Schizosaccharomyces pombe: one gene and its partner. The protein of the gene in region 1 binds, or shares a complex with, the protein of each later gene. Each region holds a gene or a part of one and is shown in the gene's direction. Other genes may lie near its edges.

What was found. Proteins that work in one complex are often made in the same cells at the same time.
Region 2: rrp42 (region 1) and rrp41 share a complex: the UniProt entries of both Schizosaccharomyces pombe proteins name them as parts of the RNA exosome complex.

Annotation. Positions count from the first base shown.
Region 1 is NC_003423.3:4,228,259-4,236,904, forward strand, and holds rrp42 (exosome subunit Rrp42), read left to right. Parts: upstream 1-3,682; 5' UTR 3,683-3,694; coding exon 3,695-3,942; exon of another isoform or gene 3,943-4,008; intron 4,009-4,039; coding exon 4,040-4,691; 3' UTR 4,692-4,938; coding exon of another isoform or gene 4,939-5,526; 3' UTR 5,527-5,676; coding exon of another isoform or gene 5,677-5,721; 3' UTR 5,722-5,822; downstream 5,823-8,646. Other genes in the region: phosphoribosylanthranilate transferase Trp4, read left to right, coding at 1-92; kex1 (serine carboxypeptidase), read left to right, coding at 559-786, 854-1,552, 1,600-2,205; BAG family molecular chaperone regulator Bag101, read right to left, coding at 4,939-5,526; top3 (DNA topoisomerase III), read right to left, coding at 5,677-5,721, 5,823-6,558, 6,606-6,742, 6,793-7,285, 7,375-7,751, 7,799-7,879. UniProt on the Schizosaccharomyces pombe protein: Non-catalytic component of the RNA exosome complex which has 3'->5' exoribonuclease activity and participates in a multitude of cellular RNA processing and degradation events.
Region 2 is NC_003424.3:3,159,898-3,167,065, forward strand, and holds rrp41 (exosome 3'-5' phosphorolytic exoribonuclease Rrp41), read left to right. Parts: upstream 1-3,229; 5' UTR 3,230-3,323; coding exon 3,324-3,326; exon of another isoform or gene 3,327-3,374; coding exon 3,375-3,414; exon of another isoform or gene 3,415-3,525; coding exon 3,526-4,211; 3' UTR 4,212-4,457; downstream 4,458-7,168. Other genes in the region: pdc201 (pyruvate decarboxylase), read left to right, coding at 333-2,045; ppt2 (holo-[acyl-carrier-protein] synthase new8), read right to left, coding at 2,422-2,546, 2,626-2,714, 2,773-2,957; tif211 (translation initiation factor eIF2 alpha subunit), read left to right, coding at 6,559-6,628, 6,691-6,861, 6,968-7,168. UniProt on the Schizosaccharomyces pombe protein: Non-catalytic component of the RNA exosome complex which has 3'->5' exoribonuclease activity and participates in a multitude of cellular RNA processing and degradation events.

The DNA of each region.
Region 1 (8,646 bases):
GAGAGGGTGTCAAAATTGCTCAACAGAGTATCTCTTCTGGGGCAGCACTGAGAGAGCTAAGTAACTTTTCTACTATTAGTCAGCAACCCTAAGGTTTTTATTTCCAAGCTACATTATATCCTAGAACATATATCCGTTCAGACCCCATTTTTGTATATTCCCTTTCTCTTTGTTTTTCAACGTGCCTTTGCAAAAAAAAGCATTATTGTTCTTTTTTTTTACGTTTGTTGTTTATTCTCACTCCTTTTCCATATGGGATATTTTTCTTTAGCTTAGGTCTTATATATCAGTTAGTTATGGATCTATAAAAATCGTATTAGCGATTGAACTGTAGTATATTTAAAATTTATATATCATGTTTACTTAAGCTTAATGTCTTAGATGGGATATTAAGCACAATTGTGTTACGTTTCGCTATATAAAATAGCGAAATACAATAATCCAACAATTTGTGAATAGATAAAAAGTAGCAGACTAATATCATCCGAATTGCGGACCCCATTCCTTTGTATTCAATCTGGGGATCATATAGAAAACTGTCGATTTGATTGTGAGAGCATGATTTCGAAGTTACTGAAAATAGTCCTTTTAACTGCAGGTGTTATTGGCAACACACTTGCTGATTCTAGAATTCATGAACAATATCTTGTAAAAGCATTTCCTAATGAGCCTGTTGATTATGAGGGAAGAATGCATGCTGGACACTTAAATCAAACGGATCAGCTGGATGGTGATTTGTTTTTCTGGATGTTTGAATCCGTAAAACCCGAATACGAACATCGTTCTGTAAGTATTTCAAGTGAATGTTTTTAAATTAAATTATATATTATACAAATTACTAATTTGATAAAAGATTCTTTGGTTAAATGGAGGTCCTGGCTGCTCTTCAGAAGACGGCTCGCTGATGGAAGTTGGACCATTCCGTCTTGATGACAATAATACATTCCAATTGAACCCTGGACGCTGGGACGAATTGGGTAATTTGCTTTTCGTAGACCAACCCCTAGGCACAGGGTATTCATACTCTCTGGCTAAGGATTTTCAATCTAACAATGAGAAAATGGCCAATGATTTTTCTATTTTCTTTGAGAAATTCTTGGAGGAGTTCCCAGAAAGAGCAAATGATGAATGGTTTATCGCCGGAGAATCATTTGCTGGTCAATACATTCCCCATATCGCTGCAAAGTTGAAAGAAAAAAATCTTGTTAACTTGGGAGGCCTTGCAATCGGAAATGGATGGATTAACCCACTTTCTCATTATGAAACATACCTAAATTATTTGGTAGAAAAAGGCATGGTTGATTTTGAATCAGAGCTGGGTCAATATTTACATCATTCTTGGGCGGAATGTTTACTTGCTTTTGACAAGATAGGTTCCGGATCTGGTGATTTATCTAAGTGCGAAAGTTTTCTTGGCGATATTTTATACATGGTGTCAAAGGAACCTGGGAAAGCATGTATGAACATGTATGACATTAGCTTAGAATCGACATATCCTACTTGTGGAATGGACTGGCCTTACGATCTTTCCTATCTTACTGAATTTTTAAGTGTATGTTTATAATTATATGATAATATATCTTTTACTAACATTGTCAGACTCGTGAAGCGATGACTTCCTTAAACGTTAACCTCGAAAAGGTTCATGATTGGGAAGAATGTAATGACGACGTTGCCCTACAATATGCTCGTGAAGGGATTGAGTCCTCATCTAAGTTAATCCAGGACCTTGTATCTACGGTTCCTATTTTGTTGTTTTACGGCGAAAATGACTTTCTTTGTAATTATTTATCTGGCGAAAAATTAACCCGATCACTGGAGTGGAATGGTGCTGTTGGTTTTCAAAATCAATCTGCTCAACCATTTTATCTTCCGGGCTATTCTGATCAACCATCGGGCTCCTATGTTAGTTCCCGGAACCTGACCTTTGCTCGCATAGTTGAAGCTAGTCACATGGTTCCATACGATCATCCTAATGAAATGAAGACCTTGATTACTGCTTTCTTTAATAATGACTTTGCCAGCTTACCATCGGTACCTAAACCCTCTCCGGATTTAGGTAATGGAAACTACAAATGGCTTTATTTGGGTTTGATTCCTGTTGCTTTAACTATCATTATTTTATTCTCAATTTATTTGTGCAGGAGATTTGGATTATTTGGTCTTAGCAAACAACGCTACCAACCTATATCTCCAACTCCTTAGACTGTATATAAATCTTTTCTGTCGGTTTTTACTTTCACATACAGATTTTCTGCTCTTTATTTTAATCATTTAACTTTTAATCTTGCTTTATCGGTGGTAGAATTTATTTTTTTATCTTGGAACGTTCTTCCCTGGTTTTAAAAAATCTGCGATTATCACCATAAATTTTATCTCTCATCTTTAATCAAATTTCACTTATGGATACATTCTTTGAATTTTTATTTTTGCACATAGTCTCTAAATGATCTCAAATCATGAATATGAAATATCATGTACCAAACATTGTCTTATAGCTATTGTTTGTTCTACAGTTTTTGTAGTTTTTTTATAGGACAGATTAGCGTCAAACGCTAATCTCAATAACGTGTTTGCAATAGTACAGTATATCATGGAGAACTACGTCTTGTAACATGTGTCACAAATGTATAAATACTAGTGAGATCTGTCTGTTTATATTGACAATCCGTTACATCCCTTAATAATCGATTATTATAAATAATTTATAATCGAATCACGTTCCTAAATTCAGTTAGAAGCTATAGCAATGGGAGGATTCTATCACATCTACGCATGAGAACAAAGGAGAACTGCAAGCTAATAACAGATCTACTGTAATCATATTTGACAATCCAAAATCGACGCACGTTATCAGGGACACAATTGATGCGTTTGGTAAATTTTACAGACAGCCTTAACTAAATAGGTCTAGGCAACGAGTGAACTAGCTCTATATCAAAGAAGAAATTGGATAGTTTTATTTCGATGACAACGTCTTTAAATCCATGATCCAATAGGCCCAACTTGCTTGTGGATGGATACTTACAGATGGCACGCTATCGAACAGAACACCAGATATGATCTTATTGCTACTCGGCCAAATTGCATCAAAGTGGTAAATAATATTTCAGCGTAGGTTTTGCATCCAAAATTTTGAAGGAATAGGTTATAATGAAGCACCAACTGCCCAAGCATTTTCAACTGATGTAAACTTGCGAAATTTTTAGAGAATGCGCCTTTTCTGCTGTGTCAATAAACAAGTCTTAGCTAATAAAAAAACATGTCGCAGTAGTACTGACAACGCTATAATTTACTACGTTGTGTATCACATTTGGAACATGTTCTATTTAAACATAGCCTCGTAGATGATAGATATTGGGGCAAATCATTTGATATCTGAAACAAATATTTAGTTTATATGTTCAACAATTTAAATAGGAAACTAAATTTCGTTCCTCACTTTAGTCAGAAGCTAATAACAGAAATAGATCATAAATAATACCTACATATACCAATATTTTCAATGACTCATAGCCGTTATACCTATGTATTATAATATAACAGATCACATGTAAAACTTATCGCGGTTTTGCATATCGTTAAACAGATACAAAACTGCGTAGCATACATAACGAACTTTAGAATATACGCAAGAACTCAACGCAATATTGCAAGGAAAATTATTCTTAAACGATATACCATTAGCCAACATATGCAATTGTCATTACCAGAACTATCGTACACACACAAATCAATAACAGAATTTGAGCCTGCAATTCGGAATGATGGACGTTCGATAGACCAGCTTCGTCCGCTTTCTGGACAAGTAGATGTTCTGCCTGGTACAAATGGTTCTGCTAGAGTTAAATGGGCGTCTTCGGTGGAGATAGTCATAGGTGTAAAAGCAGAAGTGGGTGATGCTACTCCCGAAGGTGGTAAATATGTCGCTTCAGTTGAAATGTACGTGAGATATTTGGAGTTCGTATTAACATTGTTTGGCGTAACAAACAATATGAATCAATTGAAAAAAGCTGGTATGCTAACACTTTTTATGTAGTTCTCCATCTGTTTCAATCCAGAATCGTGAAACCGATGAAATTCCTTCATTCCTTACAAGTGCCCTTCAGGATTTATTAAACGCACTTGCTGTCGACTATTTGAAATTTACACCATCTAAAGCTTGGATTATTCACGTAGATGCTGTTGTAATACTTTCTTCGTCTCCTTACGAAAACATTCTTTCAGCTTTAAGTCTTGCTGCTTATTTAGCATTACAGACTACACGTTTACCTAAAATTTCTACCCCCAATGTCACAGACATCACTATTGGATCTACTAAATATGAGCCTTCCGAAGAATACGATGTTGATTCAGAATGGGAAAATGCATTACCTTTGCAAGGGTTAGAATTAATGTCAGTCATAATTTTGGTTAGTAGCATTGATCAAGTGATAATTGTTGATCCTACAATTGAGGAATCAAGTGTCGCTCAAGTGACATATGCGATTGGTGTTCAAGCTAGTGGTGCTATTAGCTATACCAGGGTCGTGGGTACTGGAGGAGGCTACGCATCCACTGGACGTGCAATAACTGTAGAGCGATATATAGAATTGTTAGAGACTGCGTCTACCGTTGGTACTAAGCTTTTGAACGCCAGCAGCGATATTCTATCTTTTAAGGGTTTAGGATTTTTTGATATTCTTCCATAAATGAATTGGGTTGGGTTGGTCTCCATTTCCTATATAATAGCATCTTTCTCTCTATATATATATATAAATGCAATACTTGGGTTACGGAATCAGGATCAATTTTGTTACATGAAGAGGCATGCATCGGTATTTTTGGTTACTATGGTTGGTCATTGTATTTCGTTTAGGTCAAAGTCATATAGCAAGTATAGTAGATGGGAATAATTTAAGGGAAATGAAATGGTAACGTCTATAAAAATAATAAAGCCTATGCGGCCACTTCTTGGCTTGTTTGGTCAACGTGATCCAACATTTTTTGGATCTTAGAAACAAGTTGCTTCCGTTCAAAACGCAATTTCTCGCTGCCCAGTACGTCAACTCCATCCAATTTTAAAAGCTGTTGTAAAAGTAGTTCACTTATCATTAGTTTCTGTTTGTTTTTCTGCTTTGGATCGTTCGACGGTTTATTTACGTAATTGTCGTACATGGGGGAAAGTTCTTTGTCAACATACTGATCGATGGCTTTTATTTCTCCAGAAATACGCGAAAATACAGGATTCTCCGCTTCCGCTTTCGGAGCGGGCTCAACCGTGTCTTTTTCCTTGGAACCTCGTTGTTGCTTATGTGGTCTTATACATAGAATTTTACTATGATTTTTTAAACCCAATTTTGATAACGAGGCTTTTTTGTCTTTTAAACGCTTGCCAGCGTAAAAAAGCTTGACTTTCTTCTCAGAAATCTCAGTCGTTTCAAGTAAATCATCAATCAGTTCACTTAACGTCTCATTTAGATTGACTGCTACCGGAAATCGCTGATTTCCATAGTGTATTGTAACTGTGCTAGTCTTTTCTGACATTGACGATATTAAGTCGACTTGCTTAACGGATCCAACTCAAGATGTTTTATGTTTTTAAGGCTGATGCTATCCAAAAAAATGAAGGTCTTAATGCGACGCTTAAAAACGAAAGGTAATAAGTTAATAAAAGTATACGAGCGGTCTGGTTATCTAGGTTTGCGGTTCATTATGACTCATAAGGTAGACTCTGCAACTCTGCGTTATATTTGTTAGCAACCATAAAATGAAAAGATTAATAAATAAAGTATGGGATTTTGAAAATTGGAAAAGTAGGAAACAATGATAATTTGACTTACATTTTTTAAACAATCGAATCTTTGCTTTGTGAGATGAAAAACATCACGGAATTGGGTAAGGATCATATGAACTAGAACATTCCGATTAAGTTGGCCATTTTCTATGTTTTTAAGTTGAACTTCCATTTCTTTTCGCAAGAAAGGCTTGGTCAAACTCCACTCTAAACCAATTTCATCATAGCCTTTTGCCAAAGCAACTCCTAAAGAGCTTGGTACAAATTCAGTTACACCTTGGCCCCTTTTTTTTCGTTTTATGACATATTCTCTCTCCTGAACTTTTTCGATGTGCTCTGCCATAGTAGCATCTGTCCCGATTCCATTGGCATCCATCAAGGCAATTAACTCCGGTTCAGTGATATAGGAAGGGGAGGACGTTGAACTGTCCATCATGTCGAGAATGTGGGGTTGGAATTCCTCGTGAAGTCTATACTCTGGTAATTGATCCGAACTTTCCCATTTCTCATATGGATAAACCTCTAAATAATTTTTCTCTGTCACTAGCAATCCCTTTTTAGAAAAAAGCTCTTCTTCCATTTTAACCTGCACCAACGTTTCGGCTCCTTTGGCATTGTCAGAACAACAAGCTAAAAATCTTCTTGTAATTAGCTCATATACTTTCCAATGATCTTGGGAAGGAAGCGCTGACCGGTGAACCATTTGAACGGGATGAATAGGTGGATGAGCGCGATCATTGTGTTTACCTTTTCGGGGCGGTCGATAATCTCCAGCCAAAAGCCTAACATTAGTTATTACGGAAGCCACTATAAGAAAAATTATATTTACCCTTCTGCATAAGAGTCCCATTCTTGTGCACCTGTTAGTTTTTGGATAATCGCATGCAAATTCATTGAAGAGTCAAATTGGTCGGTTTCAGTACGTGGGTAAGAAACAAACCCATTAGTATATAAGTTTTCGGCGAGCTGATGAAAATGATGTTAAAGTTGCAAATTCACTTATAATCAAATCGTACCTCTAAAGTTTTCTTAGCAGAAATTCTTAGATGTTTTGGCCCCAGTTTTGTAAGTTCTACAGTTGATAATGGCAGAGGTTTATACTTGGTTTTTGGTTTTTGAGTTATGTTAACGACCTTAGCAGTTTTGCATTCTAAACAGTTTTCCAAGATGATCATTGTAGTTAATCTGTCAAAAACTTTGGCCCTTTCCCAATTGAACTGAATAGTCTTACCCTGTCTTTTATCAACAAATCGAAGGTGCCAGTAGGTTTCAGGCACAAAGTCTTCTACTCGCTGCCACCGATCAACTACAAAGCCTAATGTAGGGAATTGGCAGGGACCATAACTTATTATTTTATTCTGAAGAATATCGAATGATTTTTGTAATTGAATAGTTTGTAGCCGAGTGAATATTGCACCTAAACGAAAATCAAGTTCAATTCTAGCATCCACAGCATCTGCAGCATTTTTTGAAACATCTCTTGGACGTTTCGCGGCACTGATAATATGTCTGAAAATTAGTTAGCATTTATCTTGAAGGGTTTTTTCTGTAATAAATAAATATCTGCTTTTTAAAACGCTAAGATGTTTATAACTTACGACCGTTCCAAATTATTGAAGTCTGCTCGGATAACCTGAATAGATGGATTGCTGGCTCTAGCTACATTGGAGATTTCCACCCCAATGTGTTCACCCTCACGATCACAATCGGTCCAAATATAAAGGTACTGGGCATTTCTAGCTTCTTTTTTAATATTGTCTGCTAGTACTTCTGCATTCTTTGATACTGAGGTGATGATTTGAGCATCGAATAAAACGTCTTGAGGGACAGAGCTCCAACTAGAATATTCAGAAGGAAAAGAAGCTTCTGTTAAGTGACCGGATACAGAAGTCATTGTAACATCAGAAGATCCAACATTGCCTCCAAAATTAAATGAGAAGTCGTAATTTTTTACATACTTACTTCGTGTATCTCTCTTAAGAGATTAGTAAATTTCAGAAAAGATTAAATTTTTTAACAAACCCTTCTCACGTGTCCACCCCCTAGAATGCTTGCTACCGATTTGGCAATCGAGTTTTTTTCAGCAACACATAGGACGCGCATTTCTTTTAAGAGATGACATTTATTACTTGGATATTGCACACCTTCTAATTATATCTCCCTTTTTTAAAAATGACTGCAGTGTAAAATTCGCGTGTAAGGTGTTAAGGTCGAGATGGCTTTATTGTTTATGCTAACAAATGTTGGTATAATGAAAGGTAGTAAATCGAGGACCAGAAAGTTCATTAAAAAAAATCAAACACCATACCAGTAGTTAATTATACTAGAGAATTAAGAAGAACCTCTTTAGATAAGTAATTATATAATTTTGATGTATGTTGCATTGAAGAAGTCCATGTAATAACTATTTCTTAAGCTTTCATAGTCAGGACGGTTTAATGAATAGATGCGCCGAATGTATAACAAAATTTAAAATTAATATTTTGTTTGTAAAAAAAAGTTAGAAATTTAGATATTTTTTGATTTTTGAACCCATCATTCGCATTGTAAACTACATATTTATTTCTATAGAGCATGGTAAATTGATGTAAGTTCCTTAATTAATTGAAATTAAAATAAATAGATAAATGAAAGTTCTCTTATTGACTCAAACCGGGATTGATAATATTTTAATTTGTTTTTATATTTATATTTTCTCATCTTTTAAATGCAAAATAATTATCGATAGCTAAAAAAGAAAAAGAAAAATCATGCACTATCGATAGAGTGAAGGGACTGTGCAGAGGATTTTTTTTGTTTTTTTAAAACAAAGCGACCTTGTCTAGAAGGCAAGTTTTTGTTTCACAGCTTCTCTCGTAAATCTCAATTAA
Region 2 (7,168 bases), on another chromosome or scaffold:
CTATATCAAAGGAATTAATTCATCTTACTGTGCTCTGTATATTTCCTTTGTTTATCACATACTATACTATACTATACTATACTATACTATACTATACTTTTTTTTTTTTTTTTTTAATAAACCCAAATTTGTTTGTTTGACTTGCTTTTGAGATCCTTGTATCATTCCTCCTCTTTCTTTGTTGAGCTTTTTCATTTCCTTTGACCAATCTTTTCTCTTCTTTTCACCTCTATTCTCTTCTCTTCTCCTTCTCTTTTTCATTCTATCCTTTTGCTCTTCTTACTTGCTTGCTTGTCTTGTTTAAGTAGCGTGTTTTGTTGTACTCCTGTATCATGTCTTCCGAAAAAGTCCTCGTTGGTGAATACCTTTTCACCCGTTTGCTGCAATTGGGCATCAAATCCATCCTCGGTGTACCCGGCGACTTTAACTTGGCTTTGCTCGATTTGATTGAGAAAGTGGGCGACGAAACGTTTCGCTGGGTCGGTAATGAAAACGAGCTAAACGGTGCTTATGCCGCTGATGCTTATGCTCGTGTTAAGGGCATTTCTGCCATCGTCACCACTTTTGGCGTCGGTGAACTTTCCGCACTCAACGGTTTCGCCGGCGCATACTCTGAACGTATTCCTGTCGTTCACATTGTCGGTGTTCCCAACACCAAGGCTCAAGCCACTCGTCCCCTTCTTCATCACACACTGGGAAATGGTGACTTTAAAGTCTTCCAGCGTATGTCCTCCGAGTTGTCTGCCGATGTCGCCTTCCTGGATAGCGGTGACTCTGCCGGTCGTCTCATCGACAACCTGTTGGAAACGTGCGTTCGCACTTCAAGACCCGTTTATCTGGCCGTTCCTTCGGACGCCGGCTACTTCTACACGGATGCTTCTCCCTTGAAGACTCCATTGGTTTTCCCTGTTCCCGAAAACAACAAGGAGATTGAGCACGAGGTGGTTTCTGAGATTCTCGAATTGATCGAAAAATCCAAGAACCCTTCTATCCTCGTTGACGCTTGTGTTTCCCGCTTCCACATTCAACAGGAAACCCAAGACTTTATTGATGCGACCCATTTCCCCACTTACGTTACTCCCATGGGTAAGACTGCGATCAATGAGTCATCCCCCTACTTTGATGGCGTCTACATTGGCTCCTTGACCGAGCCTTCCATCAAAGAACGTGCCGAATCTACTGACTTGCTTCTCATCATCGGTGGTCTTCGCTCCGATTTCAACTCGGGCACCTTTACTTATGCTACCCCTGCATCTCAAACCATCGAATTTCATTCCGACTACACCAAAATTCGTTCTGGCGTTTACGAGGGCATTTCGATGAAACATTTGTTGCCCAAGCTCACCGCTGCCATTGACAAAAAGTCCGTTCAGGCAAAGGCCCGTCCTGTTCACTTTGAGCCACCAAAGGCTGTTGCTGCTGAGGGTTACGCCGAAGGAACCATTACCCACAAATGGTTCTGGCCTACGTTTGCCTCTTTTCTTCGTGAGTCCGATGTAGTGACTACCGAGACAGGTACCTCCAACTTTGGTATTTTGGATTGCATTTTCCCCAAAGGCTGCCAAAATCTCTCACAGGTATTATGGGGCTCAATTGGTTGGTCGGTTGGCGCTATGTTTGGTGCTACGTTGGGCATCAAGGATTCCGATGCTCCTCACCGTCGTTCCATATTGATTGTTGGTGACGGTTCCCTTCATTTAACTGTTCAGGAAATTTCTGCTACCATCCGTAACGGTCTCACCCCTATCATATTTGTAATTAACAATAAGGGATATACAATTGAACGTCTCATTCACGGTCTTCACGCTGTTTACAACGACATCAACACTGAATGGGACTATCAAAACCTTCTTAAAGGCTATGGTGCCAAAAATTCTCGCTCCTATAACATTCATTCAGAAAAGGAGCTCCTCGATCTCTTTAAAGATGAGGAATTTGGAAAAGCTGATGTAATTCAGCTCGTTGAAGTTCATATGCCTGTCTTGGATGCTCCTCGTGTTTTGATTGAGCAAGCCAAACTTACCGCTTCTCTTAACAAGCAGTAAAAAATATGGCTATGGCTATATTATTATGATATGTTTTTGATTTTGAAATTTACAATATTTCTCAAATGATGCTTTTGTTAGGTTAGTTAATTTGCAACAGTCGTTTTTTTTTTCTACGTCAATCCATATTTCTTTCATAAAATGAATGAATATATTGAAGTTTATGCAGCGGTTGTTTTTTTGTTGGTAATTAGGATTCATTGAATGATTTATTTTTTTTTTCTTTTTGCATCCCCTTACTCCAAGGTAGACTTGTCCAGATAATTCCCTGTTAGTATAAACTCAATAACATAAAAAAAGGTCATTGAGACGACTGGTAATGAGTAGCAGCAATAGAATCACTAAATAATATAGTACCTTCAATTTGGTCTCTCGTCTATGTCTTTGGCATAGATGGTAGATACAAAGCATTCGCTACAACCAAATCTTCCTCATGGCTTACAGATACCATTACGGGAGAAAGCGGAAATCGGGGATCATGAATAACAACGGAAGGGTAGCCTATATTAATCATAACAAAGTCAGTAACTTTACAAACCTTTTATTTTTAAACATTGAACATGGAAAACAAATGACACACCTGTGGGAGTTCGAACATACTCCATCATAGACATGTAAACTCGAAAATTCGGTTGTAAAGCTTTGAAAACAGCTTCTTTGACGCACCATCTACATAGGAAAATAACCGTTAAAACTATGAAACGATCATAAATATAGACAAGCATACCTAACAGCAAGCCATTTAGCCTGTTCGCTTAAACGAGGCAGCGAGGAATTGCTTTTAATCAGGTTGTACTTTTTAATTTCATTTTCACACAGACATTTTTTTAAAAAGTTCTTTTCCCATTCAGGAGAGCGTTGAATTAATCTTGAGATTCTTGAAATTTTTAAAATGTCAATCCCTAAACCCATTTCGATTTTTGATTCTTTATAACATGAACAGGAAATATTAATGGTAATGCAAGAAGAAAAAAAGAAATCTATGGCTTCAATAATTTTGAACGCTTAATTAATAATATATTGTAAACTAAATTTCCGACACACTAAACGAGATATAAAAATCTTTATCCTTAAATAAAATGAAATAAATTTATCTAATTCATTATCGATTAGTGCCCCCAAAGACATCAAATCCAATTCGTTTCGTAGCGAATGCAGTAGCAGGAGTTTTTACTGTAACAAGTGTACTCTCTACTCACTCCCAGTTACAAAAGTGTTCAAAGGGAACCAAAAATTATATATTTGTAATCCTTTCAATCACGAAAAAAAAAATTTCATATGGTAAGAGATAGAATTTATCTCTAGATAATACGAGTACTAACCATATAGTCACACTTTGAGATTTTATCCCTTGAAGGTCTTCGAAATGGTAAGCCAATTCATTTATGGGAAATGAAAAAGAAACTTAAAATTTACATTCAAACATCTATGATTCTTATAAAATGTATTAATCTTTCTGTGTGCTAATATTTGTTGCAAGATGGTCGACGGTGGGATGAGATGAGAAACTTTCAGTGTCGTATTGGAATCGAGCCTTCGGAGAATGGGTCGGCGTTTATTGAATTGGGTAACACAAAGGTCTTGTGTATAGTCGATGGACCCTCGGAGCCTGTAATAAAGTCCAAAGCTAGAGCTGACAGAACATTTGTGAATGTCGAAATAAACATTGCTTCTTTCAGCACAATAGATGTGAAAAAGAGATTTAAATCGGATAGGAGAATTCAATTGCAATGTTTAGCTTTACAAAATACATTTGAGGAGATAATTCAAACAGAATTATATCCCAGAAGTCAAATTTCTGTCTACTTGCATGTTTTACAAGATGATGGTGCAGTAATGGCATCTTGTATCAACGCTACTACTCTTGCCTTAATAGATGCTGGTATACCAGTTAAAGATTTCGTTTGCTGTAGTACAGCTGGGATTGTTGAGTCTGATATGCTGTTGGATTTAAACTCACTAGAGGAGTCAGCTCTTTCATGGTTGACGGTTGCTGTTTTGGGGAACATAAAAAAGGTCGTATATATGCAGCTGGAAACTAGTATGCATTTGGATTATTTGGAGTCAGTAATGAATATGGCGATCGCTGGATCAGAACATATTTATAACACGATGCAAAGTGCGGTTCGACAAAGCGCTAAACCGGCACTTGCAAGTCTCAGCTAATGACAAAATTTTGGGGAAAAAAACTATTAAAAATAAATGAACGGGAAGATTAATTTTTATAATTATACATTGATAAGTCATCACAATTGCAACTTTACTTAGCTCTACGATATTCTGACAAAACGTATACAGCTTTACTCATTTTATTCCTAGTACAACGTTTTTGTCCTTATCCTTGGTATTTCTGTATAAGTATCAAAAAAATCACCTCGAATATCGTATATAATCTTTTAATGATTGCGTCCCTTTTTTGTCTAAAGGGGCTTATATTACAAAAAATATGGATTGTACTGTAGATATTATGCATCAAAAAAGGCTCATTAATTAGTTGAAGATTTTATGAATAAATTCGGTTATTCAGATCTCACTTATTATAATAAATTGATTATTTTTTGGGGGAGGCTTTCATAAACAACCGGGAATTTTTCATTCAACAGATATTACAGATTGATGTGGATTAAAAAGAAAATATATATATATATATATATTTTTTTAGATTTTTAGATATAAGAAACCTAAGGTTTATTATGAGAATCGTAAAACTGTTTTTCGAGATAAATGTTAAATTTGTTAATGTTAAAATATGAAAAACACAGTATTTTTATTTTATATATTTCTATAATGGTGCAAACTAACAGTAGCTCTTGTAGCTCAGTGGTAGAGCGCCTGTCTCGTAAACAGGAGGTCCAGTGTTCGAGTCACTGCCGGAGCAGTTTTTATATTTTTCGATCACAGATCGGCCTTTCTAATAAGCATTGAAAGCTACAAAATGAGTATACTAAGATACTTATTAATGCATATTCTTGTAAATAGGGTTTCTCACAATTCATCGAATATACATACTCAAATTCTGCCGTTACTAGTTGATTGCTGATTTCAAGGACATCTTGATTAATAAAATGGAAGAATCGCTGTAGGATCAACAGTTAATATTACCTTCGTTTTAAAAATGAGGAATCTCGTGCCGTTCAACCAAAGTAAAAATGAAACTTCGTCAAACTGCATGACTAAGTTTCCCCTTTCTGTTTTTGATGCTTTCATAGCACTGTCAAGAATACCGTTGCGCAAATATCTGGCAATTATATACATACCAGTTCATCGCGGCCTGATTTAAGTTTTGTACGTTTTATTGTTTTCAATTGTTTTTACTAGACAGCATACTGAAATATGCCTTCAACAGTTTTTAATTTTATCAGTTTGATTGAATACATCAGTTTCCCTAAATGCTTTCTATCTTTGCCTTCAAAAACTTATTGCTTATACATGTTATAAATATACTATTTAAACGTCTACGGCCATACCTAGGCGAAAACACCAGTTCCCGTCCGATCACTGCAGTTAAGCGTCTGAGGGCCTCGTTAGTACTATGGTTGGAGACAACATGGGAATCCGGGGTGCTGTAGGCTCATCTTTTTTTGTTGATGATTTGCTTCTTTTTATATTAACATATTTGGAAAATACTTGTAATTAATTTAAAGCGGCTTTTCTCATTCTAGGTACTAGATGAGTACTTTCGTTACAGCGCAATTCTTGTATTGACCAGGTACGAATCGGAATGGAGGACATCCCACAACAGACAAAAAATGAAATACAATTCACAAATTAGTACCACATCTTGTTCATTTTCATGAACAAGTGTTAAAGAACTTTTATATTTATATAAAAGACATATTCAACTGGTTGTCTTTACTAAGTTTAGATGCATTCTTGATTCAATGTATCTACGAGAAGCGCATTGAAAAAAAAAAGTTTGTTTGTAATAGTTTATATTCAAAGACTGTTGAAAACACATTTCCTCAACTATTCTTGAGTTTGGCATTGATAACCTTTTGAATTTCATTAATACGAGTTCTCACTTTTTTTTGTAATCCAAAAAACGGTGATGGATGGTTTGTAAGGCAATGGATTAACAACTTTTCAATAAAATAATTCTTTACTCTAGTCAAAGGAACAAGTGGAATCAATTAGACAGAGTCTTCTATTCGTAAACTTTCCAATTGTAATTTTCGTTTGAGGGAAAAGAAAGTTTAAGTATATTATCTGTAATTCTAAACGATGTAGTAAACTAGTAGTTTATTAAACACTTTAGTTTATTAAATACTTTACTGCTAGTTTATTCAGCGTTCGGCTGGTAAGCCAGTTATCACCGATCGTTATGTGCTTTTAGATACTAATAAATCTTCTTTAAGGAAACTTTTTAAATATAAAGAATAATTATTGATAAACAGTTAAGTTAAAATGACCAATGTCTGGGTTCTGAAAAGAAGCAAAATTGGCCCCTAGAGTTTAGAAGTGGGTAGTCCACACAAATTTTTACTCAGAACCAAACACTCAACACTTTGCAAAAATGTCGACGACAAGCTGCAGAATGTACGAGAATCGCTTCCCGGAAGTGGATGAACTCGTTGTTGTCAACGGTATGTAAAAAATGCACATGTTGTCTGTCTAAAGAAACGGTAATGGCTAATATTTCCAATAGTTCGTCAAATCCAGGAGATGGGCGCTTATGTAAAATTGTTGGAATACGATAATATTGAAGGAATGGTTTTGCTCTCTGAGCTTTCCAGACGTCGTATTCGTTCAGTACAAAAGCATATTCGCGTTGGTCGTAATGAAGTCGTCGTGGTCTTACGTGTCGACAAGGAAAAAGGTAAGAATTTATTAGTAGTTTTTTTTTTTTTTTTTTTTAAAAAAAAGAAAAACAAAAGGGGAAAAAAGGTTTATAAGTTGTTAGGAATGTACTAACCAGGATTAAGGATACATCGATCTTTCAAAGCGCCGTGTTAGCCCTGAGGATGTTGTAAAGTGCGAAGAACGCTTCAACAAATCTAAGGCTGTTCATTCCATTATGCGCCATATTGCTGAGAAGCATAATGTTCCTTTGGAGACCATGTATACCACAATTGGATGGCCATTATACCGCAAATATGGACATGCTTATGACGCCTTTAAGCTTG